Linked DNA regions of Canis lupus familiaris. The protein of the gene in region 4 binds, or shares a complex with, the protein of the main gene of each other region. Links are inferred from orthologs where the notes say so. Each region holds a gene or a part of one and is shown on either strand. Other genes may lie near its edges. The genes, in order: SNRNP200, DHX16, CWC15, SF3B2, G-patch domain and KOW motifs-containing protein-like, CRNKL1 and RBM48.

Region 1 (4,020 bases), on a different chromosome or scaffold from region 4:
ACACAGGTAGAGCGAGGCTCCCTGTGGGGAGCCTGATAAGGGACTTGATCCCAGGACCCTGGAATCATGACCCAAGCCAAAGGCAGATGCTCAGCCACTGAGCTACCCAAGAAATTTGTCTTTGAGTGAAGTGATGAACTCATTTACCTGAAGTATTAGATTTTCTTGCCATTAAGCATATGTTTCACTAAATTAGCAATGCAGCTCTCAGTGGTTACAGGAGAATATTTTCCAGGGTATTTCACAGTGAATGTTGTCCCACCCTTTGGGTTTCTCTTGCCTGCTCTTTTCTTCTTTATTTGGCATATGAGGTATATACCACAAAATGGGACTATTTTCAGGAAAGAGGACCACATTTTTCTAGTCCTGGAGATAATTTGTAGCCCCTTCATTACTTAGGATGAGATCCATCTCCTCCACGATGACAGAGGTCCTGTCTTAGAAGCTTTGGTGGCCAGGGCCATCCGAAACATTGAGATGACTCAGGAGGATGTCCGACTCATTGGTCTAAGTGCTACCCTCCCCAACTATGAAGACGTGGCTACCTTCCTGCGTGTGGATCCTGCCAAGGGCCTCTTTTACTTCGACAATAGGTATGAGAGAAGATGGGAGAAATTTAACCAGGGTGACCTTCCTGCTGCCCTATCCCCCTTTCAGGGAGCTTTGTTGGATTGGGTATTAGAAGGGTCTTTGGGTTTGGTTTCTTTCTTTCTTTCTTTCTTTTTTTATTTTTTCAAGTCCCATATTGGGCTCCCTGCGAGGAGCCTGCTTCTCCCTCTGCTTATGTCTCTGCCTCTCTCAGCCTATGTCTTTCATGAATAAATAAGATTTATTAAAGATTTCTTAAAAAAAAAAAGATTTTATTTACTCATGAGAGAGACAGAGAGAGAGAGAGGCAGAGACACAGGCAGAGGGAAAAGCAGGCTCCATGCAGGGAGCCCGATGTGGGACTTGATCCTGGGACTCCAGGATCATGCCTTGGGCCGAAGGCAGGTGCTAAACCACTGAGCCACACAGGTGTCCCGGTCTTTGAGTTTTGATGTGGTGTGAATCTAGAAAGGAATGTCGTTCCTGGGCAGCAAATATGACTGTTTATTTCCTCAGTATTCTGTGCTAGAAGCCTAATATGTTTAACTATTGAACTTCTAGCTTCCGCCCAGTGCCCCTGGAACAGACTTATGTGGGTATCACAGAGAAAAAAGCTATCAAGCGTTTCCAGATCATGAATGAAATAGTCTATGAGAAGATTATGGAACATGCTGGAAAAAATCAGGTCTGTCTGTGGTTTCTTGTTGAACTCTGTTCTTGACTTTTTGTAGTGTTTTGTTTTTAAAGATTTTATTTATTTATTCATGAGAGACAGAGACACAGGCAGAGGGAGAAGCAGGCTCCATGCAGGGAGCCTGATGTGGGTCTCGATCCCGGATCCTGGGATCACGCCTTGAGCCGAAGGCAGACGCTGAGCCACCCAGGTGTTCTTGACTTTTTGGTTTATAATCAGGCAATATCGACAAAAATAAAAAAGAGAGGATACAACACAGATCACCAGTATTAGGAATGAAATGGGATATTACAGTAGAATCTGTATCCAGGGGAAGGATAATAAAGGAATACTATGAAAAACTTCACACGTAAATTTGCCAACCTAGAAGAAGAAATGGGCCAGTTCCTCAAAAAGCACCATCTACTAAAACTCAGTCTAGATGAAATAGATAACCTGAATAGTCTCATAACCACTAAAGGAAATTGAATTTGTAATTTAAAAACTCCCAAAAATGAAATCCCCAGGTGCGGATAATCAGTCTGTCTCTCTACATTATCAGGGGTCCTTCTATAAAAGATTTGGGTGGTTGACACTAGAAATGTAACCTGTGAAAATACAAATAAAAACTAGTGAAAGAGGGCATTTTACTAGAAAATATGGTAACAATTTTTTACTCGAACACTGCTAAGTTCACCAAGACAAAAACTAAGGAAAAGTGAAAGGTGTATAGATTTTTGTCTGATAAAAAGCATTTGCATTTAAATAAAGAGACCAATCTTTTCTTGGCACTAAATACTTGAATGACTTTCCTACCAAATGGAGACTTACTTTCTCAGTCCTTTTATAAAGTCCAGTGCCCATCATTTAATACAATATTTCAGCTGTTAATTTACAGGCATATTCCTCAGGTGGCTTAGAATTGTGTCAGGTGCCTAAACACAAATTCGCAATGGAGATTCCTGAATTTGCATCCTTATTATATTTAAACTTGGTTTCAAAGGTAGAGTACTTAGAGCTTACTTTCCCAGCTATGGGACTCTGCCACTGTGCTTTGTAGTTTTACTTACATAAGGTCTTGCCGGCTTCTGAATCAATATACATTCCTGCCATTGCCCTTCTTCTAGACCTCGGTTTCTCACCATCCAGTAGTGTAGCCGCTGCTTCCTGTTATTGGTACCTCAGAGCCATGGAAGTGACTGTGGTAGCTGTGTCTCTTGACCGTGGCAAACTGGTTTTTCCTTAGGTGCTGGTTTTTGTCCACTCCCGGAAGGAGACTGGGAAGACGGCCAGGGCCATCCGTGACATGTGCCTGGAGAAGGACACTCTGGGTCTGTTCCTGAGAGAGGGCTCAGCCTCCACAGAAGTTCTTCGGACAGAAGCTGAGCAGTGCAAGGTGAGGAGCAACTGCCCCAGTTCTCTGTTAACTACCTGGTAGCTGGTTTAATCCAAGGTAGTCCATACAGTTCTCGACTGCATCATGATGGTACTGTATCAGACAGGTTAAGATTGAATGGCTAGGTGTGGTTATGTGGATTCGGTAAGGGGCAGGGTCTCATGTGAAGAGATCTACTTAGTCTCCATAGAGTTCCCACAGCGAAGCTCACCTAATCATCTGTTCTTTTTCTGTTCCACAGAACCTGGAGCTGAAGGATCTTCTGCCGTATGGCTTTGCTATTCATCATGCAGGCATGACCAGAGTTGACCGGACACTTGTAGAGGATCTTTTTGCTGATAAACACATTCAGGTGAGGGGGAGTAAAATGTAGGCTTTAGAAGACCTGCTTGTCAAATGCCAGATGTTTGTGCCCAGTACTTTGTTTGTGGCTCAGGGAAACCAGGTCATAAGGTTGTGGTAGTACAGTGGATACAATGTTGTGCCACGTCTTCCAGGTCTTTACCTACTGTGTGAAGGAAGGTGAGTGATTTGAGAAAAGTGTCTAAGCATAACAAAGGAGGCATGTTAGTGACTGCAGGTACCTCCAAGCAGGGCCTTGTAAGGTTGGGACCTTGTTTTCTGTCTCAGGATAGGGTATATTATTAATTGTCTAGTAATCTTAATGTTTAGGTTTACACTTTTGCCTTGCAAGTATCTCTAGAACCTTGAAATGTTCATTGTTGGGTAGATGAGGGGAACCCAAGGACTCTTTCCCTCTTTTTTTTTTTTTTAAGATTTTATTGATTTATTCATGAGAAATACACAGAGAGAGGCAGAGACGTAGGCAGTGGGAGAAGCAGGCTCCCTGTAGGGAGCTGGATGTGGGACTTGATCCCAGGACCCCAGGATCATGACCTGAGCCAAAGGCAGATGCTCAACCACTGAGCCACCCAGGTGTCCCGACTCTTTCCCTCTTTATTCTAGTGTTACCTTGACAAGTATGGAGCCTACCTCGGTCCTGCTAGAAGCTCTGAGGCCGGTTTCCTAGAGGACTTGAGGATACTAACCCTCTAGTGGTAACATATGTCTGTTTTCTTTATTACTTTTCTTGTTTCTGTAGGTTTTAGTTTCCACAGCAACACTGGCTTGGGGTGTGAATCTCCCTGCCCATACAGTCATCATCAAAGGCACCCAGGTGTACAGTCCAGAGAAGGGGCGCTGGACAGAGCTAGGGGCGCTGGACATTCTGCAGGTATAGAGCCTTTGAGGTTATTTTCAGTAAAGTATTCTGTATATAAAATGCAAGGAGGCCACAAAAGGTGGCACATGGAAGGTGGGGTTCTATGAAGTAGAGGCCTGGGAACAAATCCATAAACTCTGC
Region 2 (4,535 bases), on a different chromosome or scaffold from region 4:
CAAAGTTGTTTTTCCTTTTGCCCTCTGATGTTGGCTCCCTGGGCGCTGGGACTCACCATGGCTTTCCGGTCTTCCTCAGCCATCTTGAGGCGCTTCTGAGCCTCTTCATAAGCCTAGAAGAATCCAAGGGTGCAGGGCTATGAGGCCAAAATCTCCCACAGCCACTCCCTCTCTAGAATCACAAGGATCATTTGGATATACTATAGCATACAGAAATGTCCCTTCTCAGGGGGGAATCTCTAGGCCTACAGGTTGAGCAGAGGATCAGCAGACCCTTCTGGGTCCTCTTACTACAGAGATGAACACCTCCAGAGGCCACCCTGGTCTTCCCAGAGAGCCCTATCTCTGCAATCACACCCAACCTCAGATCTGACCCAGGGATCTTCTTGGGGATTTACAGAACATGCTGCTCCTATGCACCTTCTTGTCTGACCGCTCCAGGACATTGCGAGTCCGATCCTTGTCTCGCTGCCGAACCCGCTCAGCAAAGGCATCACGTTCCTCCAGGTCCTGAAGGCGCTCTCGCTCGGTCCGCTCCCACTCATCCTCAGATTCCGGCTTCTCAGTCTGTTGACTCCCCCTGCAAACCAGTCCAAAGGATTACATAAGGTCTCCTAGGAAGCTTACTGCCCCCTTATCCCCTGCCTCACCCTCTCTCACTCTGCTTCTAACTTACCCTGTCTTTCTTCTCCCTTTCTCGGAAATCTCTTCCTCCTCTTCTTCCTCCTCCTGACATTTCTTCCTGAGGTGTTTCCGTTTTCTACGCTTCTTCTGGAGACTGCTCCCAGTTCTACCTACGGTCTCCTCACTACTCTCCTCACTGTCTTCCAGCAACTTATAGGATCGGTTCTTTTCCAGCAGGGCTTGGGCCTCTCGCTCGGCCGCCCGAGCTGGCTTTTCTACCACCGCCTTCCGTGGTACCTATCAGTAGAAGGGAAGATAATGGGATGTGAGCAACTCCTGATTTTTACCCATCTACTTTGCCCCATTCTGAAATTTAAAGAATGGCGTGATTTTTTTTTTTTAAGATTTTATTTTTTTATTCACGAGAGACACAGAGAGAGAGGCAGACAAACAGGCAGGGGGAGACGCAGGCTCCATGCAGGGAGCCCAACGTGGGACTCGATCCTGGGTCTCCAGGATCATGCCCTGGGCCGAAGGAGGCACTAAACTGCTGAGCCACCCGGGCTGCCTGGAATGGCCTGATCTTAAACTAACCTTCATTGTCTCTTTTCCTCATGGCTTCACACCATGTTCATCAGCCTGAACTGGGCCTTTCAGCTTCTGAACCTCCTTGCAGTCATTCATTTAACAAACATTTATTGAAGCCTGTCTGATGCACCAGGTACTTGCTAGGGATCAAGGACACAGGAATAAATACAAGACAAAAATTCCTGCCTGGGTGGCTCAGCGGTTGAGGGTCTGCATTCCGCCCAGGGCGTGATCCTGGAGTCCTGGGACTGAGTCCCACATTGAGCTCCCTGCATGGTGCTTGCTTCTCCCTCTGCCTCTCTCTGTGTCTCTCATTAATAAATAAATAAAATCCTTAAAAATAAATAAATAAAAATTCCTGCCCTCATGGAGTTTATCTTACATTCTTTTTTTTTTTTCTTTTTTTTTAAGGTGTCCCATGCAGGGAGCCTGATGTGGGACTCGATCCTGGGACTTCAGGATCACGCCCTGGGACAAAGGCAAGTCCCTACATTCTCAAAACCAATTCTCAATTGCTCAGACTCTGTTCTTCCCCACAATTAAGTCATCACGATGCAAGGACTGACATGCTACAAGGATTGGTTTACAGAGGCCTGTCATATGTTTGGCACCGTACCAGATTCCAGGGATACATGCTACACGGATTTACATAAAGTCCCTATCCTCATATCACTTAGATTCTAAATTCATCTTTCACCAGGAACCATATGTGACAACTCAAGCAGGCTACCTGCCATTCTAGGAACACGTTGAACACTTTCACTCTTCGATATACTTACTAAGCACCTGTTCTGTAAGGTGTTGTCAGGTGGAAGAAATACAAAGACAAGCAATACACAGTCCTGTCCTCCAGGAATTCACTTTTACACCTTTACTCCTTCCCCCTTCTCTATCTATCAGACAGATTCCGGGGAATCTTTGGGCCTGCTTTCCCCTGATCACTACCCTTACCTTTTGTGCCCTACCACAGCACTTCTCACACATTTCTTCTATAGCCTTGCTACTCAAAATGCTGTCCGTGGACCATCAGCTTCACCTGAAAACTAGCTAGAAATGCAAAAACTAAGATCCCACCCCAAACCTATCGAATCTGGATCCACATTAAAACAAGGGCCTATTAAAGTTCGTGAAACACTGCTCTACAGCACCTAACGGTCCTTGAACTTCTCCCCAGAGCTGCACGTCCAGCACCTAGTACAGTACCCAGGCGACAACGGATAAAAGCTAGGTGCTGGTGTAACCGAGCTTACTTAATTCCCCCAAGGACAGTTAGCCTAGCCTCACCTGGATAGACAACCTGGGGCCCCGCCCCCGCTCCACCTGCTCTCCCGCCGCGCCCACGCCGGGCCCCGCCCCGCCCCTGCAGACACCTTGGTCCAGAGTCTCAAGGCGAAGTCGCGAGCCGGTCCGCTGAGGTCCAGAGTATCGGTGTCTCGCAGGCGCTGTACGAAGTCCTCGGCCGAGGCGCATCGCTGCGCGGTACCGATCAAAAACTGGGCTACGTGCCGCTCGCTCAGCCCCAGCACCGAGTGCAGCTCGTCCTGCACCCAGCGCTCCAGCCCAGCCGGCGTCGCCATGGTGACCCACGCTGCCCGGTTCCTGGCCCTGAACTATGTCGAGTAAACACGCTGGCGGCTGGGCTCGTCGGAGGCCTGCAGGCCTGGAGCCCTGGACTGGAGTCCCAGCTCCGCAAAGGACCTGCCTTTGACCCTTGGGTCTCGGTTTCCCACAGCCCCAAACCGTCTTCTCGGACCGCAGAAGCCGGAAACGACTAGTCGTTTCCGGCCAGTCGTTTCCGGCCTGTGCACTACGGCGGCCGAGCGAAGTCAAACCTCGCGGAACCGCCGAACGGGTGAGACGTTTCGTTTCCGTTTCCACCAAGTCTTTCTGTCGCCCTCTGATGGTCAGTCTGTGGATACCTCGCTCACGCATTCATTCAACAAATGCTGTGTGCTAAGCAGTTTTAGTTGCTGGGGATGTGGCAAATTATCAGACAAAAATCCCTTACTGAAGGAGGGGGAGGCAAGGTAGATAATAAATAAAGTATGGGGCCAAAAATAATGCAAGATTTGTGTGTGGTTTGGGGAGGTTCTATTTCAAATTGAAAGGCTAGGTCCCTGCTGATGAAAATTAGCCCATGCTGATTAGGAGTGACGTTTGCTCGTGCCAGTACCTGTGGCAAGAACGAATACACGTTAGACACAAGCGAGGACCTCCAAGCAGCAAGAAACAGCTTTAAAAACCTCCAATCTGGGATCCCTGGGTGGCGCAGCGGTTTGGCGCCTGCCTTTGGCCCGGGGCGCGATCCTGGAGACCCGGGATCGAATCCCACGTCGGGCTCCCGGTGCATGGAGCCTGCTTCTCCCTCTGCCTGTGTCTCTGCCTCTCTCTCTCTCTCTCTCTCTCTCTGACTATCATAAAAAAATAAAAAAAAAAAACCTCCGATCTCAGGAATGTGTAAACTGTGTTCTGCATTTTGTTAACAGCTTGAGAAATTCACTGGCGGTGCTTATTCAAAAATAAGCAGAGGAAAAAAACAAAAACAAACAAACAAACAAAAACAAAAATAAGCAGAGGAGCACCTGGGTGGCTCCGTGGTCGAGCGTCTGCCCTCCGCTGCCCTGGTGATGCCCTGGTGATGCCGGGTCCTGGAGGGAGCCCCCCCGCAGGCAGCCCGCTCTGCAGAGGGCCTGCTTCTCCCTCGGCCCTCACCGGCGCCTGCCCTCCCGCTCGCTCGCTCGCTCTCTCTCTTTTTTTAAAGATTTTTAGTTATTTATTCATGAGAGACAGAGAGAGGAGAGAGAGAGAGGCAGAGGGAGAAGCAGGCAGAGCTCCCTGCAGGGGGCCCGACGTGGGACTCGATCCGGGTCTCCAGGATCACGCCCTCGGCCGAAGGCGGCGCCAAACCGCTGCGCCACCGGGGGGCATGCCCAGCACTGGCTTCTTAGATGCATTGTTTTCTGTTTCTGAGATGGACTGTGGGCACCCCTGGCGTCTCAGAGCTTCCTGCCTCTGGTTTCCTGGGTCACAACTATTAGGGTCTTTATTTAATTAGCTACGAGTATAAGCATTGTTTCCCTCCATACTCTCTAAACTGGCTTATTGTTTTAACACCTTTGTTGTTCCTTTGCTAGTAAGTTAAAGACTTTGGTATTCGTTTTGGTATTCGTTTAAGGTCGGTTTGTCTTATTTTGTATTTAGTAAAAGGGGGTCTCCTCTGACTAAGCTGAGAAAATTCCTGTAGTGGTAGGACTATAACTACTCAAACATGTCTTTACTACCCTAGCAAACTGGAAAAAAAAAAAAAAAAAACCTGATAAGTA
Region 3 (4,683 bases), on a different chromosome or scaffold from region 4:
TGAAGATGTCAGGGAAAGCCTCACTGATGCAGTGACATTTGAGCTGAGGCTTGAAGGAGGTTAACACGGTTATCTTGAGGCACAGGCAAGAGAAAACCCAGTGCAAAGGAAATCTTATCCTTTGTGAAACAGAAATGCCCTGTTGGCTGTGGCTGGAGTTCAATATGTAAAAGAACGTCTGATTAAAAGTGAAGTCAGGCAGATAGGCGGGAACCAGACCCCTTGGGTTCTCAGGTCACATTAAAGAATTTGACCTTTATTCTAAGTGCAGTGGGGTTTTTAGGCAGAAGAGTAACACTACCTGATCCATAACTTTCAAAGATCACTCTCACTGCTATCTGCAAAATTAACCGTATGTAGGGCCAGAGTGGAAGCAGGAAGGTCCATTAGGGAGCAATTATAATGCAGGTGAAAAATCCCAGTGGCTTGAACTAGGGTAGTGGCAGGGGAATGAAATTTTGGGTATCATACTTTAAAAGTAAAATGGACAAGTCTTGGAAATAAACTATATGTGAGGAGTCAAGTAAAAGGGATTTAATCAGGAGCCTTGAGGTTTTGGTTTAATAAGTGGTACCTGGCAGTGTCCTTTACTGAGACGTACAAAACTAGGGGAGAAACACCATCCCTAAGAGAAAAATTTTTTATCTTGACCTTCAGAAAGGAAGGGGCTGCTTCTACTTTTTAAAAGAATTTACAGGTTTCAAAGGAAGAGTTCTGGAAATAAAGCTTTTTAATGCTCGATTTTATGAGCTGTTTATATTTGACACCAAGTTGGAGATGCTGAATTTTCATCTGTCTAATATTTATTGAGCATCTACTGTGGCCAAAGACCATGTGATGAGATACCAAGATGGACTAAACAAACGAGCTCCCTGCTCCCAGTGCTTTTTGGAAAAGGGAGAACGGACGACTGGCGTTCGTTGTCTCATTAAAAGTTCCCCCAACGCCCGAGTAGCCATCTTCCAGGAACTGCATCTCGCGCTCCTGGCAGTTGGGCCCAGCGTTCCAAACGCTCATCATCGGGCTAATAAGTGAATCTCTAATAGTGACATCTCCCCTCCCGCTAGAACTCAGGCTTTTTTAAAAAAAAATGGAAATGTTAACAAACAATACGAATACAACCTTTGCCTTGAAGACTAGTATTTTTGCAGGAATGGTACCTTTATAAAGATCGTGGTTGCCCCCGTACATATTTGTTCTTTCTTCATATCCAATTAAATGAAAACACTAGTTTTTCCGCAGCCCACTCTAGGCTGGCTGGGTCTAGCTCAGGAGAGAGGAAGCCGGAGCCGTTGGCTTTAAACACTTGGGTGTAATCCTTCTCTACGCTCCCTCCCGCTAGCCGGGGACTCGCGGTCCGCTACCCGGGGCTTTCCGTCCACGCAGCGGCGGAACGAAGGAGGCTGGGAGGGGGTCGGGGAAGGGAAGGACGCGAGAGACATTAAGTAATTGGCTCTTGAAGGTATAAAACGATGTTTCGGGTCTACTCGAAAGCACGGATTTCAAACGCCCGCCCCCTGGGCCGTTTCGGCCCCGCCCCCCGCCGTCATCACGCCGACCTCCACCCCGCCTGCTGCCGATTGGTCTCCGCCTCGGCCTCGGAAGTGCGGCTGAAGAGCCGGGGTTTGCTTCCGGGTCGTGGGGCTCGGGCCCGGTCCTGGGCGCGGAGGCTGCTGGGAGGTGAGAGTCGTCATGGTGTCTGTGTGACTTGCGGAGGCTGTCGCGTTAGACCTTGGTCGACGTGTGCCGCGGGAGGGTAGCAGGTTGTCCGTCCCGCGCGGGTGGGGCGGGGAAGGCCGGCAGCGGCCGGAGTCGGCGGTAGCGGGCCGGGCGTGGGCGCAGGGGCCGCGGCGGGGGCGGGGGCGGGGGCGGGCGGCGGCCGCGGAGCGCGCAGCGTGAAGGCAGTAGGCGGGCGGCGGTAGCGGGGTCCACACCCCTTCCTCCCCCGAACCCCCTGCGAGTCGGGCCTCGGGGTGAAGAGCCAGCGAGCCTCTGGTAACAGCCCGAAGGCCAGCCCCCGGGAGGCGGGAGTGACCGAAATCCGGGAGTGTGCGGGCGGCGGCGGCGCCCCCAGCGGCAGGAAACCCGGGCTCTCTCGGCGCAGATCCCTTTTCCCTTTTTAAAAAATCGAGGGACGTACACTCAGTGCCCGCCTCCCCCACCCCGGTTCCCCGCACCTGGCTTTTCGGACGCTCGACGGGACTTGAGTAGCCACGTCTGCTAGGCACCCCTCTTGGCAGCCCCAAGCCAGAAGTAACGGAAGGGGTCCCCGAGTTTTGTTTATCGGAATCCTTTGGTGGTGACTTTCCTTTCATGAGCATCGTCACCTACAAAAATCTGCTTTGTATTCTAATCGTTGCTATAGAAGAAAGTTGGACCGACAAAAGGTTGTTGGAGAATCCTGCCCGTGTAACTGTCCTTAAAGTTTAGCCTACTTTACTCCAGGACACTCCGTAACCTTGTCGGTGATTTTAAAACAACCTGGTTTTGTAGTTAGTAGCCTGTTTTCTGTTGTATGAGGTTAAGTGCAAACCTTAGGGCATCTGGTGGACTAGGGTTAAGCTGAGAATTTTTTTTTTAAGATTTTATTTATTTATTCATGACAGAGAGAGAGAGACACAGAGGCAGACAGGCAGAGGGAGAAGCAGGCTCCATGGATCAGGCCCTGGGCGGAAGGCGGCACTAAACCACTGAGCCACCTGGGCTGCCCATAAAGCTGAGAATTTTTAAAACTCAGTGTTGGCAGTACTAAATTTTGCAAGGCTTTGACATTTCAATTCCTTTTTTTTTTTTTTTTTTGACATTTCAATTCTAATAATAACCCTGTGGGGGACATTGCCCATTCCTCAGAACTTGGAGCTGGATGACTTGCCCAGGGCCCCAGATACAGAAGGAGAACAGGAACACCAACTCCCATCTTCATGAGAGAATTTTTTGCCCTAAATAAGAGTTGCCTAAGAAGCTATATTCCTTATATACCCTGAGCTTCATTATGTGTTTTCTTGAGAACTTTTGTTTGAGATTATTAATTTTGGAGAATGAATTCTGGAAATTATTTCACAAGGATGAATATTATTAATATCTTATGAAATGAGAATATATCATATTGGAAATAACTTGATACAGTTTTTCTTTAAAGCATAAAAGATGACAACAGCAGCTAGGCCAACTTTTGAACCTGCAAGAGGTGGGAGAGGAAAAGGAGAAGGTGATTTGAGCCAACTCTCAAAGCAGTATTCAAGTAGAGACCTACCTTCTCATACAAAGATAAAATATAGGTAATGAAGACTTTTTATTTTCTTGTTCAGAAGACAAGACTAAATCTGTTAAATGGCATGCTCATGAGATTCTAGCGTGTTTGGGGTATATCACTAACCTATTTTCATAGGGATAGAATGCAATAGAGTGTTTAACATTAAAACTGTGCTCTGATTATTAAAACACTACCATGTACTACTTATGCAGAAATCCCTATTAATTGGGAATTTCCGTATGTAGATGGCTCAATAGCAGTGACCTCAGGGCCCATCCACTATCAGCACTACTCAGTGTGAGGTGAAAAGTGTCAGACTAATGAGCCCTGAATTGATGTACTAACAAAAAGTAAAGACATTTTAATTACTCCCCAGCCTTATGGGAAAATATGTGACTCAGTTTGGGCTTTCTGAAACGTTGGAAACATTACAAGAATGCCTGTTAGTGACCTTCAGATTAGGGTAATGATCTCATTTAGTTCCTTGAACTTGAGGACAAAGTGGCTTTTTGCGAACTGTCTTCCCCTGCTACAGCCATGTATCTTTTTAGTAATATTTTCACCAAATTGTTTCTGCTTTAGACAAACTACTCAGGATGCCCCTGAAGAGGTTCGCAACCGTGACTTCAGGAGGGAGCTGGAAGAGAGAGAGAGAGCTGCTGCAAGAGAAAAAAACAGAGACCGTCCAACAAGAGGTACCAACACTGCCCCCAGATATTTGTCATCATGAAATTATGTTGACAATGGTTTTTCTTTCATGGCTAATTGGAGCTGATTAATATTTTTTGTTTGCTTGCTTTAAAATGTTGGCGTAAACAATATAAAGTATTGTTTGCTTTAAGATTGGTAACACTTTCTTAAGTGATTAGATTAGAGTTGACTCCAGTTCCATCTCTTTGTGCTTCCTTAGCAGAAGGAACAGGATGATCTGGGGATATCTGGCAGTTCTTGTTTCAGTTTACGTAAAGGTTTTTGTCTTAAGATTTATTTGAGAGAGAGCACATGTGCATGAGCAGGGGGAAGGGCAGAGGGAGAGATAATCTCAAGCAGGTGGGCCTCAATCCCAGGACCCCAAGATCATGATCTGAGCCAAAATCAACAGTCAGATGCTCTACAGACTGAGCCACGTAGGCACTCCTAAAGGTTTTGACTGTTTACAGCAACGAGACTTTTTAAGGCTTCGTGTTTTCTCTATGTGAGGGTCTCCTGTTTTTGTCACTGGGTTTTGGAAGGCATCTAGGGGCATAAGTTATAATGTCTTTTTTGTATTTTCAACATATGTAAAGTATTCCCTAAATTCCCTGAGAGAGACTACAGTTCCCATATTAAAATCAATACTTTCATTAATTCGTTCAACAAATGGCATGTGACCAAGGGCACATGCCAGGCACTGTGGTCCCTGTCCATGCTATCTTGATACTTATAATCTA
Region 4 (4,558 bases):
CAAGAGGAAAGAATTTCCTATTTAGGATTATGATGTGAGCAACCTTCCTGGCCCAGTCTGTTTTTGTTTCTCATAAACATATCTATCCTGGACCTGGCATCCCATTATTTTTCCCGTGCTCTCAGCTACTTCTCTTTGGAAGGCAGTCAGTGAAATGGAGCATGCTAGAAAGAAGATATGAAGGGTGTGTGTGTGTGTGTGTGGGTGTCAGGAAAATGAGACCACTTTACTTGAATTTCCCAGCTCTCACTCAACACACACACACACACACACACACACACACACACAGAGGCAATGAGCCTGCCAGTGAGAGGACAGGGCTAGAATGGGAAGAGGATCTCAGAGCTAGTGGCAGAGATGGGAAGAGAAACTGAATTGATGGGTCAGGATAGAGAGAGATGGAAGCTACACAAGCAGGGAACATCTGCTCATCCCTCCCTCAGGTGCACAGGCGGTTGCTGGTGCTGCTGGTGCTGTTGGGGCAAGGAAGGCAGCGTCGACTCTGCCAGTAGGCTGGTGGGGATAAGGGGAGAAAAAGTCCTGAGCTCATTTTTGGGACTAAAAAAGATGCATCCTGTCGCCCGAAAGATCGTTTCGTTTGTTTTCCCCATTAATCATTACTGAGCGCCTCTTGAACGCCAGGTGCTGCCGGACAGTAAAAAGACCAGGTCCCCTGTGCACGTTCTTGGGGAGGTGGGGCAAAGGGGCAAGAAAGAGTTTAAAACAAATGGTAGATGTTTGTACGTGTTACGGGAACTCCAAGGAAGGAAAGGAAAGCGGGAGAAAGGCTAGCGGAGACATCTGAGCCGGCCTGATAGGTGGAAAAAGGGGCTTTAGTGTGGCCCTTCCCCCCAGGTCGGCAGCTGGAGCTCAGCCCGCTCCCCTCCTGGCTCCGATCCTCTTTCAGCCCATTCATCCATGCGTGGGCCGGGGGTGGGCGGGCAGACAATCAGATACTGTTTTATCACAGGCATCGGCTGCAACCTCCCGCTTGGCGCCCACAACGCGCGGCCGCTGGCAGAATGAGTCCTTCAGGCCTCCCTGAGGAACGAAAGCGTCCGGGCCTCTCACGCCTGAGCTGAAAGTCTGGTCGGAAGGCTGGAGATCTGCGCTCCGGCGAGGCAGACGCAGAAAGGACGCCTTTCTGGCGGGACCATCTTGCCCCGCAGCCCCGCCCCTGCTCCAGCCTCCAGTGTTGCCGGTGCTTCAGCCCGGCACTGTGCTCCGGGAGCCGGACCCGCAGAGAACGGGACCTGCGTACTACAACTCCCAGAAGGCTTCGCGGCCTGGCATCCTGGGGACGCTTGGAGATCCGCAGGGTCTGGGCCGCAATGTGAACCGCCTGCCAATCCTCCAGCGGACGTGGCGTACGGCGCTGCCGGAAGTTCCGGCAAGTGGGCCCCAGGTCCGGTCCGGACTTCCGCGTTGGTCGCGCGCCTTCCTGCGGCTAAGATGGCGGCCGAGCATCCCGAGCCTCCCAAAGGAGAGTTGCAGCTGCCGCCGCCGCCACCTCCCGGTCACTATGGCGCTTGGGCTGCCCAGGAGCTTCAGGCCAAATTGGCGGAGATTGGAGCTCCGATCCAGGGTGAGGAGCTCGGGAGGTCAAGGGCCGGGGCAGCGTAGGCCCAGGGAGAAGCGGAGCCTGGTTACCCCGGAGACCCGGGGGGCGGAGGGAGGGGCGGAGGCGGACCGCTGGGGCCTGGCTTGGTCCCGCAGGCCTGCTCGGCCTGACTTACCCCGTTGATCTTGTGCTTTGCCCATCAGGGAGTCGCGAGGAGCTGGTGGAGCGGCTGCAGACCTACACGCGCCAGGTAAGTGTTGGCGGGACGTCAGGATAGGCCGAGTTTCTGAAGGCCTCAATGAGCCCTCAGGACTCGGTCTTAGCTTTTTATGTACCTTGCTGTTTCTGCTTGTTTTTTTACATTACCTGACCAGTTGTAAACATTTCTGTATATATAGGTCTTCTGCAGTGCCTAGCGCAAGCTCTGGCAAATGGGCAGTTGGTAAATTTTGTTGAATGAATGGGAGCAATGACGTTTTGTGGAACAGCTCCTCTTGGACTGACCTGGAGTCCTTTCTCTTTTGCAGACAGGCATCGTGCTGAATCGCCCAGTTCTGAGAGGTGAAGATGGGGACAAAGCTGCTCCCCCTCCCATGTCCGCACAGGTAAGGAGGTGGTTCTACTTTATAAGATGACTTCTGTTCAGGGCAGCTCCTCTCACAGTCAGTGTTTTGGGGATGCCACTAACAGATTGGACAGGGAGAAATGGGAGCTCTTCAGTTCCCCTTTAGTCCTGATCCTTACCTCCTTACCCAGTGTCTGCTTCTCCAAATACTACCTGTCATTTAAGGTTTAGCTTAAGTAATTTAGAAGCCTGACTTGATTCTCCTTCAGCTGGAAATAGCTCTTTTTTGCCTTACCAGGCACAGTTCTCATTTTGTTCAGTGAGACATTATGGCTCACTCTCTTATTTTATTTCATACCTTTTATATTTAGTGAGCCATTGGGACACACTGGCTCCAGTTTATTTAAGTCTTCTTAACTTCCATTTCCTTTCTGAGCCAGGATTTGAATTTTTCTCTAGGACAAGACTCTGATCTGGGATCTATTGACTTCTGTGGGTGGGAGGAGGAGTTCCCAGGTGGCCATTAGAGGTGTCCTTGGATTTCCTGAAATTGTATGCACAATCTGTGTTCATGGTTTTCTGGGGAGAGAGTCAATAGCTTTCCTTGGTTGGTACCCCAAAGTTAGTATTCTCTTCTATCGGTATTATATTTTTTTGAATGCAGGAATTGTCACTTGACTTTGAATTTTAGTACCTGGCTCATAGTACCTGCAAATGTCTGCAGTAGATAAACGGTTCCTAGTGTATGTTGACTTTTTTTCCACAGCTTTCTGGGATTCCCATGCCACCACCACCCATGGGACTCCCCCCTCTGCAACCACCTCCACCACCCCCACCACCTCCACCAGGCCTTGGCCTTGGCTTTCCTATGGCAGTTGGTCCCCGCCCACCAAACTTGGGGCCACCTCCTCCTCTCCGCGTGGGTGAGCCTGTGGCTCTGTCAGAGGAGGAGCGGCTGAAGCTGGCGCAGCAACAGGCAGCATTGCTGATGCAGCAAGAGGAGCGTGCCAAACAGGTAGGGGAGGTGGCAGGTTGGGCATAGGTCTCATCAGGGTCCTAAAGAGGATTGAAGCCTTAGAGAAAGCTGGATCCTGGGGCCAAGCCTTCTGGGAAGTCTGGACCAACGACTGGAACATAGACCCCAGGCTGAAAGAGGACCCCCAGAAGCAGTGTTGTGGCAGCCTGGCCTGAGGGGTAGTGGTGCTGATGTGAGTTTGTTTTCTTTTTTAAGCAGGGAGATCATTCACTGAAGGAACATGAGCTTTTGGAGCAGCAGAAGCGGGTAATTCCCTCCATTGGCTGTCACTTCTAGTACTAGTGTCCAAAACAAGATGCTCCATTCAAGTTTTCCATGGAGGTTACCTCATCCTTAAGTTCCAGTATCTCCCAGATAATCCCATCTTTTCTGGAGCCCAGATTGGTAAACTACAGACTGTGACCTGATTTTGTATGGCCTGCAAGTTAAGAATGGTGTTTCTAACTTTGGAGGATTGTTAGGAAAAAAAAAATTGGCAAACCAAGAACATACTGCAACCCTTGCAATGGCCCATAAAGTCTAAGATATCTGTTGTTTAGCCCATTACTGAAAAAGTCTGATAATTCGTATTAGTCTTATATGATTTTAGATACCTATGAGAGGACTCTGGATTAGTCAATTGTGTGGGATTTAGACTAAATGTGATAGAGGTAGTTAGAGAATAATACATGAGACATGCAGTCCCAGAGGTGCACTCTATCAGTTGTTCCCTGCTGCATTACTGGAGATATTGAAAGTAAGCATTAACAGGAATAGATATGAAATTATGAAGTGCTGATTTTGCCTAGAATGTGTTAGATCTTTTTTTTTTTTAATTTTTTTTTTTTTAATTTAGTTATGATAGTCACACACAGAGAGAGAGGCAGAGACACAGGCAGAGGGAGAAGCAGGCTCCATGCACTGGGAGCCCGACATGGGATTCGATCCTGGGTCTCCAGGATCGCGCCCTGGGCCAAAGGCAGGTGCCAAACCGCTGCGCCACCCAGGGATCCCTAGAATGTGTTAGATCTTAAGGAGCAGATAAAAGAATTCATTGTTCCTTAGACATAACTTAATCTCTTGGGGGAAAAGCTCTTGTTAAAAAAATAGAAGGCTGTGTGTAGTTAAATGTTAAATTCTCCGTTAGAAACCACGAGTTTCCCAGGTTTTTTTTTTTTTTTTTTTTTTTTTTGCGTGTTATTTGCAGGGGTTTTCTTTTGTGATAGAGGCCACTTCCATTTGGATCAATAGTCCAATCACCCTTCCAGGGTGGGGCTGGTGAGGATGTCAGAACTCAAGTGGTACCTGATTGTTCTTCTTTGGGCCTCCTGGCTAAAAGACTACATTTGCCAGAGGCTGCCTGACCAATGGATTTCCAAGCTGTGTATTCACTCCCACATCTCTCTTATAGGCAGCT
Region 5 (4,020 bases), on a different chromosome or scaffold from region 4:
AGACACAGAGAACGAAGCAGAGACATAGGCAGAGGGAGCAGAAGTAGGCTCCATGCAGGGAGCCCGATGCGGGACTCAATCCTGGATCCCAGGACCACGCCCTGAGCTGAAGGCAGATGCTCAACCGCTGAGCCACACAGGCATCCCTCCTGTTTGCTTTTTGAAACTCTGTAACGGGATCCCTTCTGTACGGGGTTACCTTTCTGAGCATTAGCTTCCTCATCTGAAAAATGAGGGTAGTGACAATACTGACTTCCCATATCTGTTGCAGAATTACATGAAATTATGTACATAAAGCACTTATAGCAGGCCCTGGCCCAAAATAAACATAGATGAAACATTTGCTATTATCACACAGACTTTTGATCCCTTCTCAGTTTTCTGAACTCCAAAGAATTCTGAAAACCAAATATTTTTTTTCAAACATTTTTTCATAAACCATTTAGTAGCCACACATGACCTGAATTGACACAGAGCATTTTATAGTCTGTTCCTCCTATTTGGTGTGAATATTTGTATGATTTCCCCTGTAGAAATATTAGGGTATTATAATCAAAATCACAGAGATCTGCCTCAGATCCTGCTGTAAATAATATGTAATAGATGGTATACCCAGTGTGTTATTAGGTTGGACCAAACGAAATTGCTTTTCTGTAGATCAAAAACAGTCCTGGGATCCCTGGGTGGCTCAGTAGTTTCTAGCGCCGCCTTCAGCCCGGGGTGTGATCCTGGAGACCCAGGATCGAGTCCCACGTCGGGCTCCTTGCATAGAGCCTGCTTCTCCCTCTGCCTGTGTCTCTGCCTCTCTTGCTCTCTCTGTGTCTCTCATGAATAAAATAAAATCTTAAAAAAAAAAACAGTCCTAATGTGAGATCGGGAAGGATATTCTTGAGCATGTTGATGGGGTGGGATTTGGATGGCTGTGAGGGGACACTGAAGACTTGCATTCCTCCCCTCCCCAGCCCAATAAGCTCATATACTGTGTTGCCTGCAGAGTGGTGAAGCCCCGTCTCAACTTACTGAGGCCGAAGGGGTTAGGGCTGGGTGCCAACCTGAATGAGGTCCAGGCCCTAGTCCCCACTGGCCCCCACCACCTGCCAAAGCCAGATGAAGAGCAAGAGAAGGCTAAGGAAGACCAGCCTCAAGGACTGGTGCCTGGAGGAGCTGTGGTGGTTCTTTCTGGCCCTCACCGAGGCCTCTATGGGAAGGTAAGGAACCAAGCTATGCCTAGAGCCCAAGACAGGCAGCGGGGAAGTTTGATGTGAGGGTCAGAGGGAGGAAGAATTGGGCTTAGGGTGGAAAGGCTGGAAGTCCTTGTCTTTCAGGCCTGCCTGGCTTGCTACCTCATTTGGTAACTCAGAACCACTTGCTGGGCCTGAGTCTCAGTTTACAACTAAAAGAGAGAATGGCCATATGTGCCAAATGTTCCTGAGGCTTAAGTTCTTTAAAATATATCCAAGCCACACAGTCTGGTAGGGGAAACACATGAACCAGGCCCAGGCCCAGGCCTTGGGTCAGTCTGGTGGGGGAGACACAGGGGTCAGGCTTATAGGAGGTAAGACTGGACAGTTCGGTCCTAGGAATGTGAGTTTAGTCCACTCAGACCCTGCCTAACTTCGTCCTCCCCAACGCTTCAGGTAGAAGGCCTCGATCCTGACAATGTTCGGGCCATGGTTCGCCTGGCCGTGGGGAACCGCATGGTTACTGTTAGTGAGTACTGCCTGCGCCCTGTCTCCCAGCATGAGTTTGACAAGAACACCTTGGATCTCAGTGAGTGTGCCTCTTACCTAGCTGGGAGAGTTGGAGAAACATTCCAGGGGGCAGTAGGGGCCTGTACCTGGGGGTGAGGCTGGGTGGGTGTCAGATCTGCAGAGGGGAGGGGCAGTGGTCTGTCAGGCAGATGTGACTTCTGGTCAGAATCCAGGAGGTGAGAATGAAGATCAGTGGTTTATTCGGTTTGAAGAAAAACTGATCTAGTAACCCTGGGGCTTTAGCCTCTCAGAGAAAAAACAGGTGTGGAAACCTATTCCTATCCTCAGGAGGTCTCTGTCTGTTCTAGGTGATGAGCCTCTCTTCTTCTGGGTGTGAGGGCAGCCGGGACTAGGCCATGCCCAAGGAGAAAGGCATTCTAGGCATGGCAGCAGGATGGGGCGGTTTGACAGATGAGATATTGGTGCTGATGGAGCTCTCAGGATTCCCTAGCCCACCTTGGAGTGGCTGAGGAAGCCTTCCTGAAGGAAGCCCCAGCAGTTGAGGGGAAGGGGAGAGCATTCTGATGGCATAGGCAAAGTTGTGATGGTGGGAGGGGACATTGAGGCAGGTGGGAGGTGGCCTGAGGCCAAGGTGTAGCCTGCCAGGTAAGAGGCTCACACTGAGGCTCCTTCCTGGTTCTCCCCATACACCCTTGCACAGGCCAGATGAACAAAACTTCCCCAGGGCAACAGAATGGAACAGCCTCATCATGGAAGGCCCTCCGGGATCAGGACCTCCCCAGCTGGCGGGAGGACTCAGAGAGGAAGCGGAAACACCTTCCCGACCGGTGGGACCCTGGGCATCTGGGGTTGGGGGAGAAGGCAAGGCTGTGGAGGGATTCTAGCAGTCAGAGAAGGCTTCCCGGGCAAGGCAGGCACATAGAAGGAACTAGGGATGACATCAGGGCATCAGGGGTGGGTTTCACAGCAGCCAACTGTGGGGTGACCAGAACGTGTCTCATCAGCTAAGCCTGTGTTGGCCCTTTCCGCAGACAGGGGGAGCCCGCAGCCAAGAATGAGAAGGCAGGTCCCCAGAGCCAGCACTGGTTGCACAGGGACCTGCGTGTGCGCTTTGTGGACAGGCAGCACAAAGGTGGCCAGTATTACAACACCAAGGTGGGAACCCTGCAGCCTGGCTTTCCCCCACCCCCCCGGAACTAGGCCCCCATAACTGTAACACTCTCACATCCCGTGACCCTTTCTCCAGATGACCATTGAAGATGTCCTCAGCCCAGATACCTGTGTGTGTCGAACAGATGAAGGCCGGATTCTGGAAGGTGAGTCTGAGGGATGGCCACTGGGGTTTTAATCATCCATCCTAGAGGCTGAATAGGAAGGCTGTCTTCGACCCAAGAGGCTGGTGCAGGCAAAGGCTGGAAGGTTAGGCAGAGTTCAGGCATTTTGCACAGCCCAGAATCTTTTGACAGAATACGAGGCACTTCTGTGATGGTGATTATCTAAGCTGCTCTTTCCCCCTGTGATGGTGATTATCTAAGCTGCTCTTTCCCCCTGTGCACACTGGCATAGAAATGAGCTATTTCTCCCTCTGGGGACTGGGCCTTGTACAGATGTGTACTGAACTCCCCGTGCAGGGCAGGGCATATGACGTGCACACAATAAACGGTATCTGTTGTCATCACCCATCATTTTCGTGCATAAGTGCTCCTTTTTTCATAGTTCTTTCTTCTTTTTTTTCCCAAGATTTTATTTATTTATTTGACAGAGAGAGAGCATACACACAAGCCCGGGGAGTGGCAGGGAGAGGGAGAACCAGACTCCCTGCCAAACAGGGAGCCTGATGTGGGACTTGATCCCAGGACCCTGGGATCATGACCTGAGCCTAAGGCAGACGCTTAACTGACTAAGCCACCTGGTGCCCTATTATAGTTATTTCTAGGAACTGCTCCTTAGGTGTCCTCACCTGTGAGCTGGAGTGGGGCAGGGGGACTCCCACCTGTCAACAGGGTGCAGGATGGCTCTGAGGCATACAGGAAAGGCTTTCTGACAGGACCTGGGTGGGCTGGCCCTGGCCATGGGCCTCACTCCCCTTTCCTCATCTGCAGGCCTGAAGGAAAACATGCTGGAGACCCTGGTCCCCAAGGTCGAAGGCAACCGGGTGATGGTGGTGCTGGGGCCACAGGCTGGAAGGGTGAGTTCTAGACCTGGGCATGGGGTGAGGGGCATGCGGGGGCTGTCCTGGAGTCTGAATTGGCCTTGCTGACCTCACCCATCACTACTCCAGGTGGGCCGCCTACTAGGCCGGAACAGA
Region 6 (4,020 bases), on a different chromosome or scaffold from region 4:
AGCTACCAGGAAAAACAACAATCAACTTTACTATGCAATTTTAAGGTCTCCATTACTTCTGCCCATTTTAATATGATTAATTTAACAGAAGCTTCTATAGTACTTGCTAATGTGCCAGGCATTGTTGTAAGCACTTTACAGATACCATCACTTAATCCCTAGGCAGTCCTGCAGTGCAGGAGCTAATCCAGTCTGCAGGATGGTAAATGCAGGCACGAGCGCAATAAGCAGCATGGCCAGGGTCTCTCAGGTAGTAATGGAAATGGGCTTTGAACCCAGCTGTTAACTTCGTTGCCATATTTGAACGTATTACTATGGAATTAATGATTTCCTTAAGCGAAGTAGATGAAAATCGATTTAATCTATTAAGATATAAAATAATTCAAAACTTTCTTTTGTATGTCAACCATATTTCAATAAGAAAAGAGAAAAACCTAAAAAATTCTTCTCTTTGCCAATACTTAGCAGTTTTGTTTTTGTGAGATTTTTTTCTTAGTCATTAATTGAAATATTAATGTTATTGAGCATGTAATAGAGTAGGTGCCATTTGTTGAGTGGACACATTCTTTTGGCCCCAAGCTGCAAGGGATTTTACACACATTTCCTCCTTTAAAGCCACTGAGTTGGGGCATCCTGGGTGGCTCAGTGGTTTAGTGCTGCCTTCAGCCCAGGGTGTGATCCTGGAGAACCAGGATCGAGTCCCATGTCGGGCTCCCTGCATGGAGCCTGCTTCTCCCTCTGCCTGTGTCTCTGCCCCCCCCCCCTCTCTTTCTCTCATGAATAAATAAATAAGAAATCTTTAAAAATAAATAAATAATACCACTGAGTTGGGTTAGTATTATTTTTCTCTATTTACAGAGAACCGAGTCTTAGGCAAGTTAAATGAATTGTCTAGGATGGCATGGTTTATAACAGACCTCAGCTTTTTCATTTCTCAAAACTCCCATTTGTACCCACTACAGAAATACTGAATAAGCACTGGAGGAAGACAGATGAACCAGACACAACCCCCTGCCAGAGGTTACAGATTACCGGTTCTTCACCTTTGCAAATGTTTTATCAAACCCTATAGTTTGTATTGTTGGGGGTTTGGGTTTGGGTTTGGGTTTGTTTTTGTTTTTTTGTTTTTTTAAAGCCTTGTTGTCTTACATGGTATTTCCTTAATTCCCCTGAACTTGTTCTCGTGCACCCTGATGTTAAGAACTGGATCAAGTATGCTCGCTTTGAAGAAAAACATGGTTATTTTGCCCATGCACGGAAAGTGTATGAGAGAGCTGTTGAATTCTTTGGAGATGAACATATGGATGAACACCTTTATGTTGCCTTTGCCAAATTTGAAGAAAATCAGAAAGAAGTAAGTACACTTGAAGAGCTCAGTTATATTGCAGAACAGTTTAGGAAAGAATACTTGTGCACATGGAGTTCATTCCATTTTCTTATTCACTTATCCTTGGAAAAAATGTTTCCAGAATCTCTCAGAGAACAGCACACATGTGGCTTAGCTGCAGATTGGAAACTGAGCAATTTACACATTGTACTAAAGTGTCCTAATTGTATTGTCCTTTTTGAAAATTCAGCTTTCATATCTATGATGAGAATATTGTATGTAAACTGAAAGTTCATCATTTGCTCTCCTCATAAAAGGGCTTTACAGGTAATAAACCTGGAGAACAGAAACCTTTAGAACAGAGAACAGAATTTGAATGAAAACAGAGGTTTCCCCACAAATAAATCGGTTCTGATCTTCCATAATATATATGGAAATAATCCCTTAAAGTAACTCAGATACTACAGGATCGAGAGAGATGGGCTAAGGTCCAAATACAGGGTCAGGCCAGTGGGAATTATGAAGGGTTTGAAGCATAAGAGTGGTAGGATGTGATTTATATTCTAAGGAAGGCCTCTAGCTAATCCATGTAGACTGTATTGGGGAAAACGATGGTGAAAATGGAAGTAAAGGGACTTTTGAAGTGGTTGCGGAAGAAATGGAGATGGTTTGGGGGTGGGGGGGGTACAAAGAGCCATGTTGAAAAGGTAGAGGTGGCAGGGCTCTTTGAGGTAGTGCATGTGGGGAATGAGGACAGGAAAAGAGTCAAGGAGGACTCTTGGGGTTTGGGGCTCGAGCAAGTGCATGACTGTAGGTATTGCTTACAAAGACTGGGAAGACAGAGAGACCCAGGTTTGATGGTGAGAAAAAGGAGGTCAGTTTGGGACCTTTTTAGTCCTAGATGCACAGACGATACCCAACTGGCAGTGTTAGGTAGACAGTATTAGGCGTGGAGCTCAAAGAAGAATATTGGTGTGCCCCAACAAATACCTCAACAGGAGGGAGAAAAAAGTCTTTTTTAGGACATTTTGAAACCACACAATCTTACAGGTAATATATTATGTCATAATTACCTTCCAAGTTGTTGCTAGGGTGAGAATATTGTGTTGAGAAGTAATCCTCCTATCTGCTTTTAGTTTGAAAGGGTACGAGTGATCTACAAGTATGCCCTGGATAGAATTTCAAAGCAGGAGGCCCAAGAACTCTTTAAAAACTATACCATCTTTGAGAAGAAGTTCGGTGATAGGCGGGGTATTGAAGACATCATTGTGAGCAAACGAAGATTCCAGTATGAGGAAGAAGTGAAGGTGAGTGCTGATGCGGACGCTGACCCCTGTAGGTAACAAACATGCTGACCAATAGCAGCTACAGTGAAGGGAAGAATAGCAAGCAAGGACTCCCAGGGATCATGCTCTTGCTGATACGTCTGCAGTAATTGGCAGCCACTGCAACAGGAATCAGCAGGGCTCATAGAAAAGGCCAGCAAGCAGCGCTTGGGTTTGCTCTGCCACCAACATGTTGAAAGTCACTTTGCTGCTTGCTGATTGTGTACCGTAGAACTTGAGCAAATACTGGGAATCCATTTGAACTCATTTCTGAAAAAGATGGACGAGTCAGAGATTGAGCCAAATAGCCTTTGTGCACTACCTTTTAGCTTAACTGCTTGAACAAAAGATGTACTGTAGATATGGTTCTCTTCTCTATCTGTGATGTACTATTTTGTTTCAGATTCAAAGGCAATAGTGTTTCACTAATCTGCTGTGTATCTTAAAGCTTTTGCTAAGTCAAATTAATTAGGATATTGCCAAACAAAGGACTGGGTCCTGTGTTAAATGAGGTCAGTAAGATATATTCAAGATAAATGACTTACTGGAGAAGGCAGATTTCACATTTGTGGCCATGGTTCTGATTGCACTGTAATTTTAAATCTAGACATCATAATGATAAGCAGTCACATATATAAACAAATACATTCATAAAACTAGGCATCTGATTATTGAGTAACTATCTTGAGGGTGGTGGTTGTATATGAAAGCGGCCTTGCCGTGGGACACCTGGCAAATAATCTGTCCTCTATGTTCCTTTTTCTTTTCTATTTATAGGATCTCAGGAACAGTATTTTTAAATGAGCTAGTATGTGAAATCTAGAAAAACAGTTGCTAACATACAGTCAATCAAGGGTGTTCTTTTTCCTCACAGAATCCAGTGAGTGTAGCTCTTGGTTTGATTTTTATTCATTAAACTTAAACGGTCTTTTAGGCTAATCCACACAATTATGATGCATGGTTTGATTACTTGCGCTTGGTGGAAAGTGATGCAGAAGCAGAAACCGTTCGAGAAGTCTATGAAAGAGCCATCGCCAATGTGCCACCCATTCAAGAGAAGCGGCACTGGAAGCGTTACATCTATCTGTGGGTCAACTATGCACTCTATGAAGAATTGGAGGCCAAGGTAAAAAGTGGACTTCCGCATCAGCTATTGATGGCTGCGTCACCTCTGCGGGTATAAGTCTGCTGTTTTGGGTAGCGGTGGGTATGGACATGTGCGATCCCTGAAACAGGAATCTAGCTTTAGATTCTCGGCCATACAGTTACATACTCTCTCTGCAGCCTTGCAAACTCTTAAACCTGTCATTGGTCCAGGTGAGGTATTTTGTTGTATTTTGTGTTTCAGACCTGAGGCACAGGATTATC
Region 7 (2,902 bases), on a different chromosome or scaffold from region 4:
TATAGTTTTCTGAATGATGAAAACAATAAAACATTTCTTTTTCCTCTTATCTCACCTTTTAAATTGTAATGTGAAGATCATTACATAACAAAGAAGAAACGGGTTACAGAGCTTAAAGACACAAAAGATTTCAGACAGAACTTCCATTCAGGGACATCTGGATTTCGTGCAGTCACTGTGAATACTTCTGCTGGCAACTCAGACCCTTGTCTTCCTTATTCTTGTGAATTGCCTTTATGTTATTTTTCCTCAAAATGTACATGTTCGTCAGGGGAACATATGGGTAAAGCATCCAACTTCTCTCAGGACAGTAGAAACCATGCTAAAACAATGGAGCATTGTATGCACAATGACTCTTTGCAGAAGATACAAATGAAACCTTTAAAAAATTCATTGGCCTTCCCTGGTGCACAAAAGGCTATTACTTCTTCAGAGGCAGTTGAGAGATTTATGCCTAGGACAACACAACTGCAGGAGCGGAAAAGAAGAAGAGAAGATGATCGTAAAATTGGAACTTTTCTTGAAACAAGCACAAGTAGTAATGAGGTTATGATTGGGCCTCTGTTACCAGACATACCTAAAGTGGACATGCATGACGACTCATTGAATACCACAGCAAATTTAATTCGGAATAAACTTCAAGAGGTAAGATCATTTTTAAAAAACTATTTTAAGAGACCATCTGGTCATAGGACTAACAGCTAAATCGAGATTTGTGGCAGCTAAAGTATTGTCATTAATTTTTTTCATTTTCAGTTTTTTTTTTATGTGTTTTTCTACAGTTCTGTTGAATTAACTGAATTTGACTTAACAGAAATGTATGTGCTTTGATGTCATTAATCCTTGCTTTAAACAATGTATTTCATATCATTCTAGCTCTAAACTATAAAAGCAGTGGTTTCAGTCAGTGAGGTTGGTCTGTGAGAATTGAGCCCAGGCCCTCCCTTTTTAAAGCTCCCTGGTTGGTTCTATTATGAGCCAAAGTACAGAACTGTTGTGTTGAAGGAAAATTACTACAACTTATTTCTTTAAAGTTATTACAAAATTACATTAAATTAAAATGCTTTTTTCTTCTTTGATAAAGATAGCCATAGAAAAAGATGAGATTTCTAAAGACTAGCCACTACGGTCTGCATTTCAAAATGTCAGCTCCTTAAATAGAATACAGCTCGATTGTACTACTTAAGTAGTAATTTCTTTACATATTATTTATGTAATCATTTTACATTTTCCAAGCACCAATAAAAGAAAGCTAACATTTGAATTAGCTTTTGAAAGATACCTTTTTTATGGGGCAAACCTCGTAGAAATCAAGCTGAGGAAGAAAGACCATTCTCTTAAACTTTAATCTGAGGTTCAGAGAGTGCTTTTTGTGTAATTGTATGTATATTTTACAGAGTGATTAAGGGAGTCTGAGGTGGCTTAGTTTATGTGTATTTTTTTTTTTACCTGAAAATTACTATCTCATTAAGGATGAGCTCCTATTTTATAATAACAAAAATCTATAAACGCAGTTTCCATGCTTAAGCCTCTTTTTAAAATTTTTAGTTTGTGCTGGCCCCCTTCCTTCAAATACAGCTGAGCTGAGGCATAGATAGAGATGCATAGCGCTCTCAGCCAGAGCAGACTGTATTTTCAAGAAAAAAAGTTGTTAGGTTCAATTCCTAAAAAGGAAACAGCAGAACAACAAAAATGAGAAATGCTTAAACACAACTTACTACAGATGCTAATAATAAAGGATTATTATAGAAGAGTACATATTTATTTTTCTCCCTTCAAATTTTTTTTCTTGTTAAATGGCTTTAGAAATTTTACTCCCATCAGTGTTTGGACAGAAAACTTTGCTCTGTAGGCTATACCCTGAAATTGGACTCACTCTGCCTCCAATGTGATGGCAAGATTTGAACTACTAGATGTAGATCCTACCTCTTCTATTAGTTTATTTATTCCTGTGCTATAAGGAATAAATGTTGGTGGTTCTCTTTTTTTAAACTAGGTAATTTCATCTGTGCCAAAACCTCCAGAAGACAAGCTGGAAGATGTGCATTCAAGTCGTCCATTAAAACAAAGAAGAAGAATATAGATTGCCAGCAGCAAATTATGTTTCCTGAGGGACTATTTATTATTTTTAGCCTGTCATTTTAATTCTTGAAGAGGTTGTACTGCAGGAATTTTCTAATGCATTCCTCTTTGTAATATCATTCAACCTACTTATTTAATAAAATTTCATCTTTTAAAATTAGTTTATCATGGACAAAATACATGCCAGCCAAATATATTCCTTAATAAAAGAAAACAACTTTTCCAGTGATTCTGGTTACATCTTACTAGCTAGAACTGGGCTCATGGCTGTTCCTAACTGGGGAGGTCTGGCATGGTAAATAAATGTTTAGGTTTTCTTTTTTCTTTTTTCTTTTTTCTTTTTTTTTTAAGGTTTTCAACTTCTGTGGTTGAGGAAGCAAGAGAAAAGGGGGTTATGAAAGGCTTATTCACAGGATTTGCCTTAAGATCTAAGCCTTGTTGGCTAACTTAAAAAGTAAAATTAGTTTATCATTACTTATAGGTGTTATTTTGATCATACTTAATATTACAGAAACTGTTCTTATTCTCACATTGCAGTAATTATAGGTAAATGAAGTGAAGCAAAGATAAAAACTTTAGAATGCAAGTAAAGATAGGCAGTCAGGATCTGCTTCTGATTTTAATACAAGTATTGAGTAATTCACATTCAAAAACTAGAAGTCAGGATGTGTCTGAATGCCAGGGCTTCAAAATCAATACAATTCTGTAAAGTAAAAAAAGGTAAACTATTAGAACAAACTATTAGAAAATGCTAACCACTACCCTTAGCATACCCACATTGTTTTTCCTGTCAGGGAACCACATAATTGGAATTTGGAAT

The links.
Region 1: SF3B2 (region 4) and SNRNP200 share a complex: the UniProt entries of both Homo sapiens proteins name them as parts of the minor spliceosome. The link is inferred for Canis lupus familiaris from reciprocal best matches to the Homo sapiens genes SF3B2 and SNRNP200.
Region 2: SF3B2 (region 4) and DHX16 share a complex: the UniProt entries of both Homo sapiens proteins name them as parts of the minor spliceosome. The link is inferred for Canis lupus familiaris from reciprocal best matches to the Homo sapiens genes SF3B2 and DHX16.
Region 3: SF3B2 (region 4) and CWC15 share a complex: the UniProt entries of both Homo sapiens proteins name them as parts of the minor spliceosome. The link is inferred for Canis lupus familiaris from reciprocal best matches to the Homo sapiens genes SF3B2 and CWC15.
Region 5: SF3B2 (region 4) and G-patch domain and KOW motifs-containing protein-like share a complex: the UniProt entries of both Homo sapiens proteins name them as parts of the minor spliceosome. The link is inferred for Canis lupus familiaris from reciprocal best matches to the Homo sapiens genes SF3B2 and GPKOW.
Region 6: SF3B2 (region 4) and CRNKL1 share a complex: the UniProt entries of both Homo sapiens proteins name them as parts of the minor spliceosome. The link is inferred for Canis lupus familiaris from reciprocal best matches to the Homo sapiens genes SF3B2 and CRNKL1.
Region 7: SF3B2 (region 4) and RBM48 share a complex: the UniProt entries of both Homo sapiens proteins name them as parts of the minor spliceosome. The link is inferred for Canis lupus familiaris from reciprocal best matches to the Homo sapiens genes SF3B2 and RBM48.

What each region holds. Positions count from the first base shown.
Region 1 is NC_049238.1:34,661,739-34,665,758, forward strand, and holds part of SNRNP200 (U5 small nuclear ribonucleoprotein 200 kDa helicase), read left to right. Parts: intron 1-399; coding exon 400-593; intron 594-1,149; coding exon 1,150-1,273; intron 1,274-2,507; coding exon 2,508-2,657; intron 2,658-2,898; coding exon 2,899-3,009; intron 3,010-3,759; coding exon 3,760-3,891; intron 3,892-4,020. UniProt on the Homo sapiens protein: Catalyzes the ATP-dependent unwinding of U4/U6 RNA duplices, an essential step in the assembly of a catalytically active spliceosome. Plays a role in pre-mRNA splicing as a core component of precatalytic, catalytic and postcatalytic spliceosomal complexes.
Region 2 is NC_049233.1:613,622-618,156, forward strand, and holds the start of DHX16 (pre-mRNA-splicing factor ATP-dependent RNA helicase DHX16), read right to left. Parts: upstream 3,001-4,535; 5' UTR 2,790-3,000; coding exon 2,583-2,789; intron 922-2,582; coding exon 677-921; intron 581-676; coding exon 421-580; intron 114-420; coding exon 57-113; intron 1-56. UniProt on the Homo sapiens protein: Required for pre-mRNA splicing as a component of the spliceosome. Contributes to pre-mRNA splicing after spliceosome formation and prior to the first transesterification reaction.
Region 3 is NC_049242.1:6,114,907-6,119,589, forward strand, and holds the start of CWC15 (spliceosome-associated protein CWC15 homolog), read left to right. Parts: upstream 1-1,549; 5' UTR 1,550-1,680; exon of another isoform or gene 1,681-1,763; intron 1,764-1,878; exon of another isoform or gene 1,879-1,995; intron 1,996-3,126; exon of another isoform or gene 3,127-3,139; 5' UTR 3,140-3,147; coding exon 3,148-3,278; intron 3,279-3,835; coding exon 3,836-3,948; intron 3,949-4,683. UniProt on the Homo sapiens protein: Involved in pre-mRNA splicing as component of the spliceosome. Component of the PRP19-CDC5L complex that forms an integral part of the spliceosome and is required for activating pre-mRNA splicing.
Region 4 is NC_049239.1:51,711,849-51,716,406, reverse strand, and holds the start of SF3B2 (splicing factor 3B subunit 2), read left to right. Parts: upstream 1-1,406; 5' UTR 1,407-1,452; coding exon 1,453-1,585; intron 1,586-1,764; coding exon 1,765-1,811; intron 1,812-2,088; coding exon 2,089-2,166; intron 2,167-2,892; coding exon 2,893-3,141; intron 3,142-3,357; coding exon 3,358-3,408; intron 3,409-4,552; coding exon 4,553-4,558. UniProt on the Homo sapiens protein: Component of the 17S U2 SnRNP complex of the spliceosome, a large ribonucleoprotein complex that removes introns from transcribed pre-mRNAs.
Region 5 is NC_049260.1:42,454,704-42,458,723, reverse strand, and holds part of G-patch domain and KOW motifs-containing protein-like, read left to right. Parts: intron 1-994; coding exon 995-1,208; intron 1,209-1,637; coding exon 1,638-1,770; intron 1,771-2,412; coding exon 2,413-2,539; intron 2,540-2,743; coding exon 2,744-2,867; intron 2,868-2,958; coding exon 2,959-3,028; intron 3,029-3,814; coding exon 3,815-3,900; intron 3,901-3,993; coding exon 3,994-4,020. UniProt on the Homo sapiens protein: RNA-binding protein involved in pre-mRNA splicing. As a component of the minor spliceosome, involved in the splicing of U12-type introns in pre-mRNAs.
Region 6 is NC_049245.1:3,685,934-3,689,953, forward strand, and holds part of CRNKL1 (crooked neck-like protein 1), read left to right. Parts: intron 1-1,175; coding exon 1,176-1,354; intron 1,355-2,400; exon of another isoform or gene 2,401-2,463; coding exon 2,464-2,634; exon of another isoform or gene 2,635-2,922; intron 2,923-3,197; exon of another isoform or gene 3,198-3,234; intron 3,235-3,586; coding exon 3,587-3,778; intron 3,779-4,020. UniProt on the Homo sapiens protein: Involved in pre-mRNA splicing process. As a component of the minor spliceosome, involved in the splicing of U12-type introns in pre-mRNAs.
Region 7 is NC_049235.1:18,074,503-18,077,404, forward strand, and holds the end of RBM48 (RNA-binding protein 48), read left to right. Parts: intron 1-76; coding exon 77-645; intron 646-1,996; coding exon 1,997-2,083; 3' UTR 2,084-2,311; downstream 2,312-2,902. UniProt on the Homo sapiens protein: As a component of the minor spliceosome, involved in the splicing of U12-type introns in pre-mRNAs.